3 linked regions of the Pelodiscus sinensis genome follow. The protein of the gene in region 3 interacts with the protein of the main gene of each other region in a pairwise test. Links are inferred from orthologs where the notes say so. Each region holds a gene or a part of one and is shown on either strand. Other genes may lie near its edges. The genes, in order: EIF4E, RHOBTB3 and UBXN11.

Region 1 (7,630 bases), on a different chromosome or scaffold from region 3:
CCCTCAGTCCAGAGGAGACTGAGACGCCCTCCTCAATGGGAAGATAATCACAATCTACATTACATCTTATTTAGAAAATACCGGACAGTTCTAGTTTCTCATGTAGATTTTCTCAATTTGTTTCCGGAACAGAAAGCTCAAATACTGGACTGTCTGGGTCAAAACTGAACACCTGGCAACCCTAATGCCAGATTAGGCTGGTCGGTATTAAAAAAAAATTAACAACAAATAGTCTAGTAGCACTTTAAAGACTAACAGAACATGTAGATGGTATCATGAGCTTTCCTGGGCACAACCCACTTCTTCAGACTGTGCCCATGAAAGCTCATGATACCATCTACATGTTTTGTTAGTCTTTTAAGTGCAACTAAACTGTTTTTTAAGTTTTTCCTGTTACAGACTAACTCGGCTACCCCTCTGTGTTAGAAAATTAAGTTGGCTTACTTGTTTCGCTCTGAGGTGTGAAAAATCTCTGGGAAGTGGATTATCTATGCTGGTGGCAACCTTTCCACTTGGGAGGGTTGTGTCTGCACTCAAGCTCTACAGTGCTGCTGCTGTAGCATTTTAAGTGTAGACATATGCTTAGAAAGACAAAGTGGCGAGGCAATATCTCTTACTGCAGAAACTCCTGCTCATACAAGAGACAAGCTTTTGAGCCAGACAGAGCTCTTATTCAGGTCTGGCGAGGGTACTACCAGCATCACAGCAAAATGTAAGTGCAACAGATTGTTTAGCATAAGTAGTTAGCAGAGATAGTAAGGGACCATTCCTACACCTATCTCTCTTTATAAACAGAAGTTGGTTCAATAAAAGATATTACCTTACCCACCATGTCTCTCTATAGGGATGTAAAAATTCATTTAAAACGATAACCCCGTTACTGCTAAAATCCTAGCGGTTACACAGTTACATGCTGCAGGTTACAAAACCTCCCGGGAGCAGAGCTGGCAGACAGCATCTCTACAGTTGCAGAGTATTTGGGTCATAACTTCCTCTGTCATTGTACCAACGTATACAGTTGTAATTATTTTTCCTTTTTCCTAAAAAACAGGTACTTCCAATCTCTTCTTGATGACAAAGAAAGCTTCCCACTTCCTCAGCACCAGCTTAAGAATTGATACTCTTAATTTATTATTAACAGCAAGAAAATCAAATGCAACTGCCTTGCTCAAAATAAGGAAATAAAAACTAAAAACTGCAGCTTTATAAATGTCACTTGATTGTTTTGAGAAGAAAACTCTTAATCAGCAAGTTACATGAAATAAATAAAATGCTTATTATTCATGGAAACCAGAAAAAACAAGCCCACTTTTGACATCTATCATGCACTTGAGACTGGCCATGAACAAATCACTTCAGTAAGAACAAGATTTTTCAGTCGAGTATTGGACAAATAAGAATTTTATTATGAAGATTTTTTATTCACCAGGAAGTTTTCAGATATTAGTCAATTATTTATGAAGAAATATGGCAACAAGTTACATGGCAGCCTAAAAAGTGCATGACGTTTAGATTAAATATACAATGGCCTCAGATCACCAGAAACATCCTTCTTTGTACTACTACACTCATATGCTATTCTGTGTCTAGAATACTATACACAATTCTGAGTACCAGTAAGATGTTGACAAATTGGAGGCAATATAGGAGTTAAAGCGTAGAAGCACTGACTTTTTATGGAAACATTTAAAAACAAGTAAATCTGTATATGCTGGCGTGATGACAAAGGAAGTTGTGACAAATGTTATAGAAGGTTCATACAGATCCAGATGAATTATGCTACCAGTATATAACTCCTATATTATTTTTATCAGTTCTCAGGCCTAAGATTTGTCTCTCTGATCCATACATAATGGGGACAGTAGCATGTTTTGAGGGAAGTGACATTAAGTGTCCACTCTCTCAGGCTGGTTTATATAAAATATAATCCCTGATTTATGTAAATCAGTGCTGTCTTCTGGGCATAGACATGTAGTTTGGACTGTTTGTCTATTTCAATTTTGTTTAAGTTGATTTCTTATTGTTTTGAAAATGTTTTAGTTAACTTGATGCTCAAACCTTACATAGTCAAGAATTATATTCAGCAGGTCCAAGGTGAGGGGAAAATTAGAAACATGTTTCTCCTTAAATCTAACATAAAAGCAACAGGGGGAAGCTGAGTTAGTCTGTACAAGATAAACTTAAAAAACAACAAATTGTCTGGTAGCACTTTGAAGACTAACAAAACATTGACATGTTTTGTTACTCTTTCAAGTGCTACCAGACTATATGTTGTTTTTCAAGTTTATACAAGCAACAGTCTAGGAGTGTACAAGAAAGACAGAGAATTGTAAACTGAAGTTGGACTAACAATAAAACACGGGGAAATATTTTTATTTACAGGAAAACTACTTTACTCCAAAAGCAGCTTTCATAAATATAAAATTATCATTGGTCTTTATGTGTTCCTATTGTTACAAGAAGTCTTACCAACAGTCTCTTTCTGATATTCACTGTGCCCAGGAGACAATCTCTACAGCATTCCACTGGTAACTCTTTTAGCCTGCGAGGAAGAAAAGAAATGTGGTTATGACTCTATCCCTGAATAAAGTTGTTCAGGATGTTCTTACTTCCTTTTTTTCTGCCTTTATTTCAGTGAGAGAGGGTAACCAAATACCTTTCAGTTTTACATTTAGCTCTGGATTCCCAACACACCCATTAACCTGTCACGCCGGCTAGATCTACACTACACCTTTTTCTGATTTTTGGTTTACACTGGGCCAAATTTTGGAAAATCCCCCTCTTTCAGAAGATCCCTTCTTCCTCGTACAACGAGGAAGTCAGGGCTTCTGAAAGAGCACGTTTGCTCTTCCACAGAAAAAAGCAGAAGAGCAAATGCATTCCCTGGATGCGGTGGAGTTTTTCCAGAGTTTCTCCAGTATCCTGGAAAACCCCCGCAGTCTAGACATACCCTCAGACTTTTAGTTGTAAACTCCTAACTAGCAAGTGAGTAAATACATACCTGTCCATTGTAGTTTTCACCTTCAGTATAACTTTCGAAGCATTATGATTCCAAACAAAAGTTCTTTAGAATGTACAGATAGCACCTGGGTTGCCTTGGAGATGTCATGTTTTCATCTTACCAAGTTCTAATGGATCTGGCAGAGTACTTTTATATCACAGGAAACACCTATAAACACCAATGAATAATGGAGTTCTTTAGTGTGGTCCCAACAGTATAATAATTAGTAATGAGATAAAATCCAGCAAAGGAAAATTTAGGCCAAATATGAGATTTTAAAAAATTCTTAACAATGAAGTCTATTGGGTATTGAAATAATCTATTAAAGGAAGTGCTGAAAACCCTATCTAAAGTTATAGTAAAGCAAAACACTTGATTGCACTTTTGGAACAATCCAAAAACTGCTAGTTGATGGACTAATTGGTTTAATAGATGTTTTTCTCCTATAATTTCTGTGATTCTATGAACAGTCATTGACAGTGGAAAACAAAACAATTTTTTAAATCAAAATCATGATCACCTAAGCAATGCCATGCTCTAAATGTGATCCATAATCACATTTTGCATGACTCATTTTATTTGATCAACAGTTTAATAAATTAAAGTGAAAGTCTTGAAGTCCTGGGCTGGGAATAACAGAGAGCTGGAGCCCAATCATAATACTGTTGGTACAACACACAAAAAGCACACCAATCTACTCACAATAAATGTAGCCATTCCTTAAAGGGTCATATGATACCCTCTCACCCTTGTAAAAAAATTCAGCTGAGATTCTAGACACATGAGGAGAAGGGAGCGCACAGCATCCATTTGTAGCTTCCTGATCCTGGGGCTGATTCTGCACCACAGGGCTGCTATAAACTATTCCAACTGCCAATGGCCCCACAAAGGCCACTCTTGTAGTTCAAGTTTGCTAAAGGGCGCAAGTTCTTGGCTATGCCCCCTTTCCATTGGTCATGTCCCTTTGTCTTGGCCAAATCATCTATACCTGGAGCTGAGAAAGCAGTGGTGCAGAGTTGATTATGTTGGTTCAATATCCCTGTTTACAAAGTTGAAGGTGCATGTCTTCACTGGACACATGAGTTGGATGTAGTGTGTCCTCACTAAGGTAAAACAAAAGACAGGACTATGCAACACTTTAAAGACTAACAAGATGGTTTATTAGGTGATGAGCTTTCGTGGGCCAGATCCACTCCCTTAGATAAATTTGTGGAAGAAAATTGGCATGACCATATATACCAAAGTGATACAATCAAAAAAAGTGAACACATATAAAATCGACGAATCAGATTTTAGAACAGAGGCAGGGTGAGGGGGAAGGTTAGTGTCTGTAAGGTAATGATATTAGGGGTGATAATTGGGGAAGCTATCTTTGTAATGGGTGAGATAATTAGCATCTTTGTTAAGGTATATATATATATATGGTGTATATGGTCATGCCAATTTTCTTCCACAAATTGATCTGAGGAAGTGGGTCTGGCCCACGAAAGCTCATCACCTAATAAACCATCTTGTTAGTCTTTAAAGTGCTGCATAATCCTGTCTTTTGTTTCAGCTAGACCAGACTAACACGGCTGCATCTCTATCACTCAATAAAGTAGCTACAGGCAATCCCCGGGTTACGTACACGATAGAGACTGTAGGTTTGTTCTTAAGTTGAATTTGTATGTAAGTCGGAACTGGTACATATTGTAGGGGAAACTCTAGCCAAACATTTCTCCAGAGCTCAGTTTTATTCTCTCCCACCTCACTTCCCTCAGTCATTTATTCTCAAGCTGAGGTGTCTGCTGAGAAAAGCCGCTCCGCGTCTCCCTGGTCTGCTGGGGGGAAGCAGCTAGTGCGGGGTTGCCTCACCCCGTTTGTAAGTAGGGATCTGATGTAAGTCGGATCCATGTAACCTGGGGACTGCCTGTACCTTTGACTTTGACAAAGATGCTCCGAGGGTATCCATTGCACAATTCCTGCTGCTTCTTTGCATCCCAGTACCTGATGGGACAAAAACATTGCAGCAGGTGGCTCTGCGTACATGTCATCAGCCTCTTATAAAGCACTTATCACACACACACCCCTGCTTGAAAGCAATGGCAAACAATTTTTTGCACCCTTATTTCCCTGGTTATCCATGCAGATGCCATAGTATGGCAAGACTGGACCCTGGTCAGCCTCAGACTGCTGTGGCAAGCATTGCAAACTCCCTGCACATTATACTGTGGTTTGTCCAGTGCCTAACCAGGAGCCACCAGAGTGAGGAAGAATGTGGGGAGGCCACGAAAACAGATATTCATGAAACCATTGAGTGGAGCATATGCTGGTGGCAGTCAATCCTGTTGACACAGTAGAACGCCAATTCTGGCCCTATTTGACAAGCACAGATTGGCGGAACCACATAGGGTATGTCTACACTACCCCCCTAGTTCGAACTAGGGGGGTAATGTAGTCATTCGGAGTTGCAAATGAAGCCCGGGATTTGAATTTCCCGGGCTTCATTTGCATGATGCCGGCCGGCGCCATTTTTAAATGCCGGCTAGTTCGGACCCCGTGCCGTGCAGCTACACACAGCACGGACTAGCTAGTTCGTATTAGGCTTCCTATTCCGAACTAGCTGTACGCCTCGTGGAACGCCGTGTGCCCCTTACGGCTACCATCAGGCACCCCCCCGTGGGTTGGCACCCTGGGCAGCTGCCCAGCTCGCCCATGCCTCCGTCCGGCCCTGGCTGTCAGTCCCATGCAACAAAAACCCCACGCTGCGTGCTCCCCATCACCCACCCTGCCCCGTATCTGGCAGGGGTGGTCCTCTCCTACAGTCCTCTCCTCTGGTGCGTCGGCGGGCCGGTGAGGTGAGGTAGTGGGACTCAGGCCCGCCCCCACTCCAAGCCCCGACCCAGGGTCCTAAGGACTGGGGACTGCGCCCCAGCTCCAGTTGGTGAGGGGAAGAATCCGCCCCGAAACACACCAACCTCTCGGGATTAATACCCTGCCCTGGGTCACTTCCTACCTCCGCCACTGAGCCACTGTGGCAGTTTTGTCCAGTGGCCCCCAGAGGGGTGGCTCTTGCAGCCTCCGCAAGTCCTCCTATTGGGCATCTCCCTCTGTCACTCTCCTTTCCTCTGGGCTCCATGCCTCCGTGCACCTCGGCCCTCCTTGGCCCTCTGTACTTCGGCTCTCCTCCCCTAGCTTCTGGCGGCGGCGCTCCTTTTAGGCGTCCTGCTGCTGCGACGTCCGGTGCACCAGGGGCAGGGCCTGCGTCCGCTCCTCCCAACGCTCTCCCTCCCTGGCTGTCCGCTACCTCCGGCCGTGCTGGAGCTGCCCTGAACCTCAAGCATGCGCTGCCTCTGGCAGCGCTGGCCCGCCAGCCCCGCGGCTTCCCTGCTCTCGTCGGGGCTATGCAAGCTCGGGCGCTCCCTGCCCGTCCGCACCCCTAGTACCTCCTTTGAGCACAGCGGAGCAAGCTGCACAGGGCCAGAGCCAGCGAAGGGCCACCACTTCTTCCCAGCATGCCGGGGATGGCACCGCAATTGTGCGGGGCATGGCAGCCACCCTGTCACAGGGATGATGACTTGTGGCTGCAGAACTTTCGCATGCATAAGGCCACTTTCATTGAACTTTGCCAATTGCTTTCCCCCACACTGAAACTCAGCAATATCAGAAAGATACCCACTCAGGGAAGTGAGTGGCAATAGCCTTCTGGAAGCTTGCAATGCCAGACTGCTAGTGGTCATCTGGGAATCAATTCAGAGTGGGTAAATCTACCATAGAGGCTACTGTGATGTAAGTAGTCAGTGCAATCAATACCTTCATGCTAGGATGAATAGTGACCCTGGGAAATGTGCAGGACATTGTGGACAGCTTTGCTGCAGTGGGGTTCTGTAACTGTGGTGGGACGATAGATGGAACTCACATCTCTATCTTGGCACCAGATCACCTTGCCAAAGAGTACATAAACCACTAGACATACTTCTCAATGGTGTTGAAAACACTGGTGGATCACAAGGGCCATTTCACTTATATCAACATGGGATGATAGGAAAAAGTGCATGACATGCGCATCTTTAGGAATTTTGGTCTCTTCAGAAAGCTGCAAGTTGAAACTTTCTTCCCACACTGGAAAATTACCATTAAAGACATTGAAATGCCAATAGCTATCCTTGGAGACCCAGCCACCCCTTGCTCCTATGGCTCATGAAATTGTACATAGGCAGCCTGGACATCAGTAAAGAACAGTTCAACTAAAGGCTGAGCAAGTGCCGAATCGTGGTGGAATGTGCTTTGGGCAGTTTAAAGGACACTTTCACAGTTTATTGACTAGGTTAGCGCTTAGTGAAAGCAACATTCCCATTGTTATGGCCTTTTATTGTGTGCTTCATAATATCTGTGAAAGTAAGGGGGGAAAGTTTCTGGCAGATATGGGGTTGAGGCAGATCATCTAGCCGCTAATTCTGAGCAGCCAGATACCAAGGCAATAAGGAGAGCATATCAAGGAGCACCGAAAATCAGAGAAGCTTTAAAAACTAGTTTCATGAATGACCAGACAGTGACGTGACAGTCATGTATGTTCTTAACCAGGTGCCCCCTGCATTACACATATTGGCCTGAAAATCCCCCCTCACACACACACACACATGCAGTTGA
Region 2 (7,738 bases), on a different chromosome or scaffold from region 3:
AAATCTCTGTGGAATGTCTCCAGTGTCTCTTGGCCATGCGTCCAGATCATAAAGATGTCATCGATGTACCGTAGGTAGAGAAGGGGCAAAAGGGGACGGGAGTTGAGGAAACGTTGTTCTAGGTCAGCCATAAAGATATTAGCATGCTGCGGGGCCATGCGTGTACCCATGGCTGTGCCGCTGATCTGGAGGTATAAGTTGTTCTCAAACTGGAAATAATTGTGGGTGAGAACAAAGTTACATAGGTCTGCTATCAGGTTGGCAGTGGTGTCCTCTGGGATAGTGTTTCTAATTGCTTGTAATCCGTATTCATGTGGGATATTGGTGTACAGAGCTTCTACATCCATGGTGGCAAGGATGATGTTATTGGGGAGGTTATCGATGTTTTGTAGTTTCCTTAGGAAGTCAGTAGTGTCTCGGAGATAGCTGGGGGTGTTGGTTGCGTAGGGTTTGAGGAGAGAGTCTACATAGCTGGATAGACCAGTAGTGAGCGTGCCAATACGAGAGATGATGGGACGTCCGACCAGATCCCCTACCCACTTCTGCACCCAATTTTCCACTGTTAGCCCTGCACCCAGTGGGGCCAACAGCCACGTTGGGCCCTGGGGCAAGGTGAAAGGAACCAGATCCACACCCCCCAAAGAGGTGGAGCTGAGGGCAGTCAGACCTTAGCGCCACCCAGACTGTGGTGTTTCTTCCTCCCCCAGCCCTCAAAGCTGTGTGGAGTGGCACATCCTGTGCTTCTGCAGCAGTTCAAAGAAGTTCCAGTGCCTTTTGAGTGGCCCGGCCCCAGGGCAATTGCCCTCTTTGCTCCTCCCCCACATCAGCGGGCCTGCCTGCACCCTACTTCCCACCCAAAACCCACACCACCACTCCCTCCTGCACCTATTTTGTCAACATGGTTGGTTGGCTGGTGATCCTCAGAAAGGTTTGCACTGAGTGGGTTGGGCCACAGGCCAAAAGTTTAAGAACTACTGATATAGGAGTATCTCCAAAAGCAAACAAAAACCAGCCCTCCCTATAAAGAAAAGCAAATGAGCTAAAACTACTTTTTAGACAATGTCAGAGTTGGGGACATACACTGATTTAAAATAATACAAGTGTTAAGGTTTACCTACAAAAGAAAAACAAAATTAAAAAAATGTCTTCATATGTACTGAGACGAATTGAGGGGGGGGAGAAGGAGTAACCAAAAATGGGACAGAATCAAACTCTAAAGAGGGTCAAAGCAATTTAGCTCCTTAACGTAAGTCACATCAATACCTTAGATCCATGCTAGCACATGACAGAGATGAAGAATGGATGAAGGGACGAAGTTTCAAATTAACAAGTGCAGCACCAGTTCTATAGCTCCATCACATCCCACACCCGTTTTGTTCTCATATGTATCAATTCTTTAAGTTCTTCTTTATTGAAAAAGGTTTTCTGAAACACAGAGGAATTGGTCTTAGCAGCACAAAAAAGGCTGAAATGAATGTTGGCAGAACCGATAAGAGGAAGGCTGAGGCTGGGCTGATAACAGAACATGAGAGATTTCTGAAAGTTGTTTTCTTCTTTACTCCTTATAAATAATTCTCATATCTGCCTTCTCCAGATGTATCTTGGAGTCATATTCTTTTAAAACTAGCCAATTAGCCCGTCATAAAACGGGATTTTCAGGTCTCTCCTCCACGTTGGTTGTCTTTCCTGAGCCTCTGATCTCTCACTGCGTCTCTCTCTCCCTCTTTCTTCTCCTCCTACTGCCTCCCTCTCTCTCTCTTCTCCTCCCCCTCCTGCCTCTCACTCGGGGGACCGTGGAGCCCAAATGGCCTTTTGGGCTCCACACTCCCCGTGCTGTATGGGGAGCGTGGAGCCCAAACAGCCTCTTGCACCACTTGCTCCCATGCGGCGGCCTGGCTGAGTGGCACAGAAGTCAGCCGAGCGCCACGGCGGGAGGCGAAGGGGGGAAGACGGTGACATTCACAGCCAGGGGGCAGGGCCTGGAGCCGCTGTCATGCCGCACGTCACCACCTCACTCCCTTTCCCGCCATGGCGCTCAGCTGACATCTGCACCACTCAGCCAGGCCGCCACGGGGAAGCAAGCGGCCGTTTGGGCCCCGCACTCCCCATGCAGCACGGGCCACCCAGAGGGAACAGTCAGCATTTCAGCGTTACAGACTCACAGACACTGGGCTACTATATATATGATGTGTATACGTTCTTATGACATTCCTATGGCCATTCATGCATGGCAAGCAAATCATTCTCCATCAAATATTCCTGCAGCCCCTGCAACTAGTAGAAATACCCCCATGGCACTTTCCAGACTTTTTACGAGCTGATTATGCATAAATCAAATAACTTTACAGCTCTTTCAGGCAGTTCAACCACCCCAGTTACAGCTCAGCCCATGTTTTTATTTCTAATTAAGAGTTTATATTAATTATTAGAGTCTCAGGACTACATTAACTTGAGCAGGGCTCATTCCGCTTTCACAGCTAGCTTTGTTAGGCAGGGAATTGTACACTCCTGATTTCTAGTACTGATTCTAAATGTAACATTTTCAAACATACTGATCGTAACGACACAGGAGCGCGCACTGGGTTCCTCCCCCCGCGCCGTCATACCTCTTCCGATACGTCACAGACAGAAACCCCACTGCGCCGCCGCAGCAGCCTCAGAGGCCACCCCGCAAAGAAAACTACAACACCCAGCAAGCACCGCGCAAGGTGACCCTCATAACCCGTTTAGAAGAGCTCGCGCCAAGCGTTCTCCGTCAGTAGAAAACAACTGTCACGTACCCCTGGATGCGTCCGGCAACAGCGGCCGACCCTGCCAACGGCCGGCGAGCAGCGCTTCAGCCAAAGGTGCCGCGGAGAAGCACGTGACAAGAGAACTCTAGGCCAGCGCAGCACTGAGCGTCATGTGACACGTGACGAGCTCGTACCTGCGCGTCACGCGAGGGACGCCGGAGGATGGAGCCGGTCTGCATTACCCCCTGGCGGGGAGGCCGGCACTGCAGTGCGCGTGGGCAGGTGCTGAGCGCTTTGGAGACCGGCAGCCGTGGGGATCTCATCCGGCCGGTGGAGCAAGTGGGGAGGGGGTAGCTCCACGCCCCGGAAGGGGTGGGGCCTCTGGCGGAAAGAGCGGGAACCTGTAGCCTGCTCTCAGGGCCAGCTGGCAAGCGCCTGCTTTCGGTGCTCCAGCCGTTAAGGGGCTGCTGCTGCAGTAAAGGCGGCCAGGAACTCTGAGCCAACTGGTGACTTGCCCTGCTCTCTCCATCCTCCCTTGGCTGAACAGGGAGCTGGTGCAATAGTGTAACCAGAATGGGACAGGTGTGCGTGGGCAATGAAGTGGAGAAGGGGGATTGGGAGCAATGGGAGCCTTGGAAGAAAGGAAAGGATACACATTTTACTACAGTAATATTTTAGTAATGGCCTCTTCTGCAAGTGGAGATAATATTTTGTTGATCCACTTTATTCATAATAGGCAATGTCTTGGAAAATTCAGATGAGTTCTTTACCACCAGACACTTGGATCATTCCCCTCTGGTTTGTCATACTTGGAAGCATTAAACCAGAACCCTAGATATAATTTAATTCAGCACCCACCATACACACAATTTGAACACAAGAGACCTGCTTTGGAAGAAAATTAAAAGGTTAAGAGAAAAAAAAAACCTAATTCAGAGATGACATAGAGCACTGTTTCTTAAATTCTTTGAGATCATGGAACACAAAACAATATTTTTGTGTAACATCTATGAAAATTTTCTTCAAAACAAAAAAATTTTTGTCAGACAAAAAAAGACAAAAAGAAGTAACAAAAACAAGAGGTCACAGCATACCTGTGAGTTGCTCACGGAACACCAGTGTTCTGCGGAACATAGTTTAAGAAACACTGACATAGAGGGCAAGCATAACTATCCAGGTTACACAGAATATAAACATAAATATAAATATAATCTCAGACTTTACACTTCTATATTAGGTAAAATCCTTTGTCTAGTACAAAGAAAACCAAGAGTAGGAATAAATGGTCAGTTTTCACAATAAAAGTAAAAAGTGGCATTCCTATGGATCTGTACTGGGACCAGTGCCATTCAAAATATTCAGTAATGATTTGGAAAAGGGGAAATGGTGAGGTAGAAAATTTGTGCGTGCTACAAAATTATTCCAGATAGGCTAACTGTGACGAGGCTAACTGTGACGAGTTATAAAAGGATCTCACAAACTGGGTGATGGAGAAAGAAAATGGCAAATAAAATGCAATATTGATAAATGCAAAGTAATGCACATTGGAAAACAATCCCAACTATCCATTCAATAGCATCTAAATTAGCTGTTACCATTCAAGAAAGATATTTTTGGAGTCATGGGGATATTTCTCTGAAAAAAATCCAGTGTGTGCAGTGTCAGTCAAAAAAGTAAACAGAACGTAGGAACCATTAAAAAGGAATAGATAATAAAAAATAAAGTAGTATAATGTCAACATATATCTCCAATGTATGCCCACACCTTGAATACTGCATGCAATTCTGGTCACCTCATCTCAGAAAAGATATAGAAAAGATGAAGAAAAGCACAATGAAAATGATTATGGGTATATAATATCCCCACAAAGAAAGATTTAAAAAACTGGATCTGCTGGAAATTTAGAAAAGATAATCTACTATATATTTTGGAAATTTTGACTCTATGTCTATGGGTTTGTTCGTTCAAGAGCTCTTAAATGGTAAGAGCTAGGATCACCAGTTTTGGTAGGCAGCTTTCTTTTATCACAACTCAAAAACAAGGTAAGGTTTTGGTTGTGCCAACTCATTGGCACAGCCAAAGTGCCTGGAATTTGATTGTTTCTCATAAAATGGAAAGGGGGGGGGGGTCTGATCAGAGGACAATTATATTGTAGAATGACACGGAGGGTAGCAAGAGGCCAGAATAGGAATGTAAGCAACTAGTCGAGTCACTGTTTCAGAGGCAGCAAAGAGGTGAGGGGGAGCAGGAGCTGGTCCTGGGGAGGAGCCAGCTTAGAAGGTGGTGTGGGGAGAAGCGGGGCAGGGGAGGCAGAAGCACAGTGGTATGGAATTCACTGCGGCTCTGCTTTTTAAATGTAGTAAGAGCCCCCTGGCTCCCAGACTGCTGCCCTAGGTTCTTACTACATTTAAAAGGCAGAGGCGCAGTGGGGGACCCGGTGCGAGCCAGGACTCAGCAGATATGGTTTACGCCAGGTCCCAGACCACTGCGCTTCTCCTTTTTAAATGTGGTAAGAGCCAGGTGGTAAGAGCCAGATTTTAAAAAAGCAGAGACACAGCAGTCCAGGACCTGGCACAAGCCGGGTTCCGAACCTACTGTGACAGACCGGGCTGGGTCTGGGCACAGCTGAGGGCATTTGCTCAGGGCAAATTGCTCAAATTCGGGGCTCTCTATAGCCCCCCAGACTGGAGACCTTTCCAAATAGGCCACAAACCAATCCCACAGAGCACTTCAGCTGCCTGCCTGGCCAGCCAGCAGCCTCACAAGCAAAACCCCTACGACACCCCAGCAATATCCGTGCCCCAGATGGCCCCAGGCCTCATACATAAGTGAGGGATTTAGAAACCAATCTCTCCTTCCCTTAACAAGTTCTGTCCGGTTCCAAGAAACCAGCCACAGATCCCAGGTCAATTTATACTCTGCACCTTACCCACACACAGACATTATACAAGTACATGAATAACATATATGGAATCAGAAGAAAGTATGCTTCTATTTGACACTTCACATGGCCCCCTTTGTACCACTTTTGGAGCCAACAACCCCTGCCCCATGGGTGCTGCAGTGATCTGGCTGCTTCCTTAAAATCCAGTAACATGACACCTACCTCTGCTGTAGCTCTGCAATTTATATGTAGTCCAGTGGTCACGTAGTAGATCTTGGAGCCTTTGACAGGTGACCCTGACTGGTTTGGCCAAGAGGCTATCAAGCACAGCACTTCAGCTGCCCCTTCCCCCGTTCCTGTGCAACTCTTGCCCTTTGCCTTGGAGTTGTCCCTCCTGCTTGCTGTGCAGAGCAGGGGAGATAAAGGCGGGACGCTGATGTCAGGATGCCCCCTCTCCTACCCTGTGTTCTATTTCCACAGAATGGAGTGTGGGGGGGACAACAGGGCTTGAGAAGGATGGAGTTTGCTGGCTACTTTGGAGAGTGGTACAGAGCCAGGGCAGAGGTGAGACTGCCTTAGCCTCCCTGCCCCGCCACCCAGGGGCCACCTGTGATAAGTAGTGTCCAGCTATAACCCCATTGGGCCAGCAGGCGTTAGGGGTGGAGAAAAGGACAGGTATTTACTATATATTTCAAAGAGTTTTTATGTCTGTCCCCCAGTTGGGGGACATGCACTCCTCCCCCAACTGTCTCCCACTGGCCCAGTGTTCCCTGCAGTGTTTCAAAGCAGCAGCACCACATGAAGCGTGAGGCCAACGGGGGACTCACCAGCTGGCCCTCGGCTCCACAGGGCATTTCAAAGCAGCAGTGCCATGTGGAGCCCAGGGTCTGGTCCAGGGCTCCATGTGGTGCTGCCACTTTGAAGCACTTCTTCCTCTCCCTCCCTACCCTGCTGCATCTTTCTGATAGAGGCAGCGGCAGGGGGAGCAACTAGTCGACTAGTGTGTCGACTATCCAATAAGCATTTGCTTATCGGGTAGTTGACTAGTCGTTCACATCCCTAGCTGGGACTGGACAATTTAATGAATCACTCAAAATTGCCCTGCTCTGTCCATTCCCTCTGAAGCATCTGGTACAGGCCACTGTCAAAAGTCCTGGGCTTGAAAAACAAGCACCCGAGTTTTGGGATCACATTGTTATGAAGATACAGGATGACAAGCAACAGCTGCAGAAATTCTGGATGCACAAAGCCATCTTCCAGCAACTGTTCGCAGAGTTTTCTCAAACCCTCCACCACAGGAACATCAAAATGAGAGCTGCAGTAACAGTAGAGACATGAGTGCTGATCGCTGTGTGGAACCTGGCGACACCAGACTGCTGCTAATCAGTTGTGAGTCAGATCCGAGTGGGGAAATCCACTATGGGGTTTCCAGTGATGCAAGTGTGCTGGGTCATTGTCTCCTGCGACAAAAGACTGTAACTTTGGACACTGTACATGAAATAATGGATAGCTTTGCAGCAATAGGATTCCCTAATCATGGTGAGACAATAGATGGCACAAAAATTCCCATTTTGGCCTCAGACCACCTTGAGATGGAGTACATCGACACAAAGGGCTAGTTTTCTATGATATTGCAATTGCTAGTGGATCGCTTGGATCATTTCATTGACATCAATCGAGAGTTCAGTGGGCAACTAGGTTGGGAGTGAGATGGAGCTATTTCTACCTGAGCAGCCTGCCCAGGCTTGGTTGTCAGGGGCTGGAGCTGAGCAAGCCAGAAGCTCCCTCATCTCATGGCATGTTTCTGTGTATGCTACTATAACACTTCAAATGTACCTACCTGTTGGTATGGACTCTGAATGTTAGTGTAACCCAAACAGGCAAAACTGAACCAGGGACCTTAATCAGGAGCTTAATGCATGAGCCTCTAGTACTTGAGTTATAAAGCCAGGTGGCTCTCAGCTAAGGCTGTACAGCAAACTCATTTTTCTTGCTCTGTAAGTGGTCTAAGGGCCACTAACTGGACAGTGAAACACACCCAATAGGTGTGTGAGTTACATTAGCAGTAGTCATCATATGTTGGATAATTATTTAAAGATTCATTCACTTTCATAAATTCAAT
Region 3 (7,504 bases):
CAGTGTTCCCGGGGCAGTGTGTTTGTGCAGCTGCTCAAGGGCGATTCCAGTGCTGCACAGCTGAGTAGCAGAGTGCCCACTCCTAGGCCTTGGTTCACATAAAAAGTATCCCGCACAGGGGTGGAAAAGATTAGAGAGAACATTGGCAGGGATGTATCTTTAGGGAAGGAGAGGGTGGGGTACGAAGTGTGACATGGTCCCATTCGTCCACCCAAAGACTTCCAAAGCGATGATTACGAAGCATAGAGAGAGAGTACAGTACTCAAAAGATAATACAGTCCACGCTGTGAGGAGGGTCCACTCTAAACAGACAAAGATCAAACACAAAACTGTACTGGGAGACAGAGACCATGGCGCTAGGTTCCAGCAGCTTTTGCTGGGGGTGAGAGGGGAGAGCAGTGGAACTGAATTTGTTTCAGAAAAAAAGAGACGGCAGCCAGGATTAGTGTTTGTGGCCTTGCAAACCCATCCAGAGTCCATGTAGCAAAGCCACAAGACAGCGGTGCAAAAAGAGAGAACTAGAAAGCTTAATGTTTTTCAAAGACAAAACTGTTCTAGTTCTCTCTCATATCATATTGATTTTAAAAATCTTATTTATGTTACTTGTAATTTTGTTAACGTTAATGAGAGGGATTGGTGTGCCAAGTGTGGGAAGAATGAGGGAAGCAGCTAGCTTTGGAATTGTAAAGCATTTGAGAGAGTCTGCATGTTCTAACAAATCCTGGGATTGGGAAAACTAGCTCTTACTAAGCTGATTTCTGACACATGCGGGAAGGAGAGAGAAATCAAGGACAAGAAAAGAACTAAGCACATAACACTTAAATGCAAAACACATAAAGGAAAGAGAGAGGCCTTACTTACCATTGTGGGCACTCAGTTTAAACGAGAGAGTCCTTTTCCTGCATGTAAGAATAGGGAATACAGAAAACAAACAGCAGACCGATTAATTAGCTGCTGCATAATTGGTTTTAGGTATCAGAGACTTGTAAATTACATAAAAAATAATCTTGAAATACATCCACCTCTACTTTCTCCCCAGTTCACCACACAGATAAATCAAACAAGCCCCCACTTTGCTGTCTGTGATGAGTGAGCTCACACACAAACAACATATTTGGAGTTGCTTAACAGTAATTAAGATCACTGGAAGCTACTTCATATAAGGAAAAAGTGAAAAGAAGACAAACAACAAACTCGGCCAACTGTTGCTACGCAGAATTGTGCAATAGTCTTTCTGGCCTCAACTGGGGACCAGCTTGTGCCTCAAGGCCATAGAACCAAGAGCCCCGGGTAATTCTTGCTATCGTAACTGCAGAGACTGCTCTGGATCACTTAGGGCCTCACCGTGGAATCAGGGCTCACAGCTGGAATCAGGATGGCACAATTCTGGATTTTAGGGCTCAATTCTGCAAGGTGCGGAGTGACTCCAGAGTGGTACTGACTGTCGTTACCTTGTACTTACTTCAATGGGACCCAGAATATTGAAAGATCAAGACCAAAGAAGAACCCTCGTATAGCGTGAGGACAAAAGCAGCTGGGATCAAAACTGCACAACTAAGCAAGGGTGGCCACAAATCTTAAAGCAGAAAGAGCCCTCATGTCTCATTTACCCTGGACTCTGTAGCTGCAGTGGGACTCTGCGGTGCTTTCCCAGGGAGGAAAGAGGAGAACTCATGGTTATACCTTAGACAGCTCTAGATCCTAGGGAACAAAGACAGTGTTACAATGCCAGGCGGCGGGATGACACAGAGTGAAGTGCCTTGGGAGAGAAGACTGAGGGGCACGTTGAAAAGCAGACGGCTCCAGGGTGTATTTTATCACCACACACTTAGCGGTTTCCTTCAGAGCAGGGTGGTTGAGCAGACCAAGGAGTTTAGCATGTCATACAGAGCTCATGAGGCTTGGCTGGGTAGACTTCGGAGCTGAGGCTGGAGCCAAAGCTCTGGGATCCTCCCACCATGCAGGGTCCTGCAGCCCAAGCCCAGAAATCTTCTCAGCCATGAAACAGCCCCACAGCCCGAGCCCCAGGAGCCCAAGTCAGATGGCATGGGCTAGCAGCAGGTTTGTCTCTGCTGAGTAGACAGGCCCATAGAAACAACGCTCAGGTATTTCATTCTGGGCCCTGTGGTCTCCACACAGGCGGCAGCCTCCAGGGGAAAAAGGAGGGTGACCACAGTCTGCACCATTTCATGCCAGAAAGTCTCAGGGGGTTAGTCTGTCACTGAAAATACAGAAAACGAGGACGGGTCCCACGGCCCTCAGACAAAGTCTGCCGCTTCCCTCGGGCTGCTCTGGCGGGACAAACTCACGACCTTCTGCCATCACCCTACGACATCACCCCACTCCGGCACGCAAGCGCAATGACATCGCAAACGCCCACAGTGCGACAGGAGGCCTCCCGCCGCCCTGCGCTGACATCCCCGCCCCAGCCTGGAAACACAGCGACAGCCAAAAGCACCCCAGGCACAGCAGTGACCCCCACAATGCCCCCCATGCAAGGCAGTGACCCCCTCAGGTACCCCCCATGCAAGGCAGTGACCCCCCCAGGTACCCCCATGCAAGGCAGTGACCCCCCAGGCACCCCCATGCAAGGCAGTGACCCCCCCAGGTACCCCCATGCAAGGCAGTGACCCCCCAGGTACCCCCATGCAAGGCAGTGACCCCCTCAGGTACCCCCCATGCAAGGCAGTGACCCCCCCCCCAGGTACCCCCATGCAAGGCAGTGACCCCCCCCAGGTACTCCCCAGCACAGTGGTGACCCCCCCAGGTACTCCCCATGCAAGGCAGTGACCCCCCCAGGTACTCCCCAGCACAGTGGTGACCCCCCCAGGCACCCCCATGCAAGGCAGTGACCCCCCCCAGGTACTCCCCAGGCACAGCGGTGACCCCCCGGCACCCCGCAGTGACGTCACAAGGCCTCACGGCGCAAGCCGACGGGCCCGGCCGGGGGGGTCTGTGGCTCGCTGCCCCCACGGGCGGGAGGGACGCGCCGCAGCCCGCCTCGGGCTAGTAACGGACTCACCCTCCCCCCGGCGGGCTCGACCCAGGCGACGCCATTTTGTTTGCCGCGGTTGCCCCGGTGACGGCCGGGCGAGCTGATTGGCTCGTTTAAGGTCACGTGGCTCGACCCCTTCTGAAAAGACTACCAGTCCCAGCATGCAACGCGCTCGGTTTTCTCTCTCTCTCTCTCTCTCTCTCTCTCTGACCTTTCCCCATCCGCCCCCCCGACCTTCCCGGGCCCTTGGTGGGACAAGGCGGGGCTCGGGGCTCCCCCTAACGGGCAGTAGCTGTGGGGACCCCCAAGGGGGAGGGAGGGGTAACCCCCCCAGCTCAGCCCTCCCCCCCAGCACTCGCAGGGCAGGCACGGCCGATAGCCCCGAGGCGCCACTGCCTGCTCTGCACAGGGGTCTTCCTGCCGTCCCAGAGCCCCAAATCATCGGTAACTGCCATCGGTAACCGACATCGGTAACCGACATCGGTAACTGCCATCGGTAACCGACATCGGTAACCGCCATCGGTAACCGCCATCGGTAACCGCCATCGGTAACCGTCATCGGTAACCGCCATCGGTAACCGACATCGGTAACTGCCATCGGTAACTGTCATCGGTAACCGCCATCGGTAACCGCCATCGGTAACCGACATCGGTAACTGTCATCGGTAACAGACATCGGTAACTGCCATCAGTAACTGCCATCGGTAACCGCCATCGGTAACCGACATCGGTAACTGCCATCGTAACTGTCATCAGTAACCAACATTGGTAACTGCCATCGGTAACCGACATCGGTAACTGTCATTGGTAACAGACATCGGTAACTGCCATCAGTAACCGCCATCGGTAACCGCCATCGGTAACCGCCATCGGTAACTGTCATCGGTAACCGTCATCGGTAACTGTCATCGGTAACCACCATCGGTAACTGTCATCGGTAACCGACATCGGTAACTGCCATCAGTAACTGTCATCGGTAACCAACATCGGTAACCGTCATCGGTAACCGCCATCGGTAACTGTCATTGGTAACCGACATCAGTAACCGACATCGGTAATTGTCATCGGTAACCGACATTGGTAACTGCCACCAGTAACTGCCATTGGTAACCGACATTGGTAACTGCCATTGGTAACCGACATTGGTAACCGTCATTGGTAACTGCCATTGGTAATCGACAATGGTAACTATCATCAGTAACCGCCATCGGTAACCTCCATTGGTAACTGCCATCGGTAAGCATCATTGGTAAACATCATCAGTAACAGACATCAGTAACTGCTCCACAGACATGCCTGGCAAGAAGGATAACTCTGTCCCCCTACTGCCCGAGAACTTATTCTTTGCCTTCGGAAGGTTGACTTTGAATAGTCTGGCATGATGTGGACAATGTGAGTTTTAATGACTGTTCTACTCAATGTCAACAGTAATTAAATTCTTGGTCTGAACAGCCCCCAACCATTTTCCACAACCATGAACACTGAAATAGAGTCAAAGTCTCGGGGGTTGCCGAGTGGAGAGAAAAGGGAGGACTCTCAAAATGTATAACAGAAAAAGGGGGGAGTACCTGTCAATTGTAGTGCCGGTGCTAATGAGGCTAATATGGAAAGATACTTTCAAATAAATTTGATATTTGTCCAAATTATACAAAAAATACAAATCAAATTCTGCCAAGCCTGCGCAGAGGGGAGGCATGCAAGACGAGAGAAGGTTCTTCCACTGCTCCAGCTTGTGTTGCCTTGTTCCCCAGGAGAGGAGTCCCTCTGTTGTGCATTTCCCTAATGCACATACTTCCAGACCAACAAAAGAGCGATTCCTCCTCTCTCTCAGCCCCAGACATATCCCCACGTTTGGAAGGGTCTCTTGGGCTCTATGCTCCACCATCTTGTCTGCAGCGGTTGCCCTGGTTACAACTAGGCGCAACTTCCCATGCAAAACCAGTGCTGCACATCAGCGGAAAACCATCCACCTGCCTTGCTACTGGCTCTGTATAAAATGCAAAGGGGGTGTGAGTTACTGAACAGACGGTGACAGTCCCTGAAGCAAGGACCCCATGCGTGCAGCCCCCAGCTCTGGCACCCCTTCTTCCCACCACTGCCCCCCCGATCTCCACATTCACCTCCACTGGGATCACTTCTCCCTCCAACTGCCCCCCCATATTACTGCCCCCCCACTGCATGTGTCCCACTAGCTGCCTTCCCCAAAGAGCCCATTGCACCTACCCATCCACTGCCCCTCCCCCCACTACATATTATTATATCTGCCTAAAGGGATGAAGCCTGAGGGAATCCCTGGCCTCTGGGGACAGATCAAGTGCTAGGAGGCCTTAACCCCGCCTCCCATTAAAGGAGCAGTCCCTGAGGGATCCCCCGATGGGATATAAGAGGATGGATGAGGCATAACCCCCTTGTTAATGGGGCCAGTGTGTCCCCATCCCGACACACAGTGGCAGGGAAACAACAGTCCCCCCTCTATAGTCGGGCACTGAGAGGGGAAGCGACTTGCCCCAGGAAATGGCACACGGCAGAGCCCAGCTCCCCTCTGGGCTAGGCCTGTACTCGAACCGCAGGGTTCAGGCTGGCTCGCCCTTGCAGTGTACTTGGGAGGCTCATGGTTTTGGGATTTTAAAGCCTCAGCACCTGGAGTCACATTGCTCCATGAGGCGCTCTGCATTCCAGTAAGCAGCGTCGCCAGACTCGTGCCTGTGGAGAACAGATGAACTTAAAATCCCACGGCTGTGTTCAGCTTTGTGAACTGATTATGCCGGGTGTTGTCAACACTTTTGCACTCCCACGCTCAGCTGCAAACAGACTTTCTAGTTGTCATTTCATGGTTCCTTCCCTTCTCTCACTTTGTTTTTCTGACCACTTCTTTCTTCCTGTTTTCTCGGATCCGCTGTACCATTTACAAAAACTCTATCAACAAAAGATTTTTAAATATCCAAGGTGGCTGTTGGGTCGTCATCATGCTGTTTCTGGGGAACCCTTCTCGCCCATCTTTTATTGGGCCAAGCTCTGTCGATGGTGCCATGCCGATTGACAATAGCTAGGAATCTTACCTACTTGACCTGCTGATTTTGTGCTAAGAGCTTTAGATTACCACACTCGCGCCTCTCATGGGCTGAGAACTGTCCCCAACAGACTTTCATCTCTACACTTCTGCTTACTGAAATTAGCCAAAAAAGGAGATCTAAAATAGCTACAGCAAAGTCTCCCATTTCTGTTTCTTTCAGATGTTGCCTTTTACTCCTTTCTCTTTCCAGACACTGATATGTTTCATACGCACAAAGAAATCCCACATAAATGGGCCTATTTTATCCCTGCGTCTGGAATATTTTGGCCAATTGCTTTTTTCAAGCTGCCTTAAAAAGGCACAGAAGAGGCTGGCCTAATTCTACTGACACCGGTGTGAATCGGGAGTAACTTCACTGAAGTCAAGGGAGTATAAAACGGGTGAAAACTCCAGGGAAGCTCACTGGATTTGCGTAGTTGCCGCTGAAGGTTACAAGGAAATGTTACTGTGCGATATCTAATCTAATCTAGCATCTTGCTAGCATCCGTTTCTCAGTACAACTGTCCACATTCGGGAGTTAGGAAATGCTTGTCACCATCAGCTGGCTTCAAAGTAGAGCTGTAAAAGTTTTGAAGAGAGAGGGGCCTCGGCCCTGATCAAAGAACCTCTGAGCGTTGTGGACTTGCCAGCTAGATCGGAATTTTGCAGTTGAATCTATTTCTAGTTTTCTGTTGCAGAAGAAGAGGGCTTGTTACCAAACCCAGCATGCAGGCCAAGAGAGCAGAAAGTTTGGCTCAAGTTTGCACACATCCCAGTGAGCCCAGGCTGCTTTATGGCTTTCGGTGAAAACTCCGATTACGATTGTTTGGAGGTTTCTAGAAAAACTTGAGCACGGGAGCGGGGGAACCAAGGCAAAGTACAGATCCACCCCGTCCTCTCCAGGGTGTGAGCCCCAGGTGGCCCTGTGCTTTGGGGACCAAGCACTTCCTGGAATGGAGGGAGACGAGAAGACTGACAAGCTGGCCTGTGATCGGGGGTCCTTGCAGAACTCCCACCCCAGCTGCCAAACTCTCCTGCAACCCCTTCCGGCAGCTTCAAGAGAGTCAACCCAAGCCCGTTGTGATGCCACAACCCCTCACAATCCTCCCCCCCATACACAGCATCACCACCTCCCCAGGAACCAACTCCATTAACCGCCAGTCCAGATGTGCAGTTTACAATCTGTCCGCCTCAGCCCCCTGGCATCAAAACCCCTGGCTCGTTTCGGTCGGGGTTGGAGAATTGCCCATACAGAGAGGCTGTGGTTTTACCAGTGCAGCTGTCTGGTTTGCTGTTGTGTTGGGGTAGGGGCTGGATGGGGGGGGAGGGGGTGATCAGTGGTATGATGAGCATAGTGTCAGCAAAGCCATGCTGAACAGCCGCCCAAGTGCTAGCAGTGTCTAGGCGTGGCAGGGAGCTTGCAAGGTTTGATTGGCAGATGCTCTGCTACAGGCACA

The links.
Region 1: the proteins of UBXN11 (region 3) and EIF4E interact in binary tests that used the Homo sapiens proteins (3 or more experiments, as listed by UniProt). The link is inferred for Pelodiscus sinensis from reciprocal best matches to the Homo sapiens genes UBXN11 and EIF4E.
Region 2: the proteins of UBXN11 (region 3) and RHOBTB3 interact in binary tests that used the Homo sapiens proteins (3 or more experiments, as listed by UniProt). The two-hybrid records come from large-scale screens. The link is inferred for Pelodiscus sinensis from reciprocal best matches to the Homo sapiens genes UBXN11 and RHOBTB3.

Annotation. Positions count from the first base shown.
Region 1 is NC_134715.1:22,622,062-22,629,691, forward strand, and holds the start of EIF4E (eukaryotic translation initiation factor 4E), read right to left. Parts: upstream 3,025-7,630; 5' UTR 3,010-3,024; coding exon 3,002-3,009; intron 2,543-3,001; coding exon 2,470-2,542; intron 1-2,469. UniProt on the Homo sapiens protein: Acts in the cytoplasm to initiate and regulate protein synthesis and is required in the nucleus for export of a subset of mRNAs from the nucleus to the cytoplasm which promotes processes such as RNA capping, processing and splicing.
Region 2 is NC_134716.1:71,203,483-71,211,220, forward strand, and holds the start of RHOBTB3 (rho-related BTB domain-containing protein 3), read right to left. Parts: upstream 3,062-7,738; 5' UTR 3,056-3,061; coding exon of another isoform or gene 2,927-3,055; intron 2,920-2,926; exon of another isoform or gene 2,781-2,919; intron 2,575-2,780; exon of another isoform or gene 2,553-2,574; intron 1,405-2,552; exon of another isoform or gene 1,275-1,404; coding exon of another isoform or gene 1,264-1,274; intron 1-1,263. Other genes in the region: RFESD (Rieske domain-containing protein), read right to left, coding at 2,927-3,055. UniProt on the Homo sapiens protein: Rab9-regulated ATPase required for endosome to Golgi transport. Involved in transport vesicle docking at the Golgi complex, possibly by participating in release M6PRBP1/TIP47 from vesicles to permit their efficient docking and fusion at the Golgi.
Region 3 is NC_134735.1:1,833,098-1,840,601, forward strand, and holds the start of UBXN11 (UBX domain-containing protein 11), read right to left. Parts: upstream 3,090-7,504; 5' UTR 3,058-3,089; coding exon of another isoform or gene 3,023-3,057; intron 1,702-3,022; 5' UTR 1,676-1,701; coding exon 1,611-1,675; intron 1,235-1,610; exon of another isoform or gene 1,023-1,234; intron 900-1,022; coding exon 862-899; intron 1-861. UniProt on the Homo sapiens protein: May be involved in the reorganization of actin cytoskeleton mediated by RND1, RND2 and RND3. Promotes RHOA activation mediated by GNA12 and GNA13.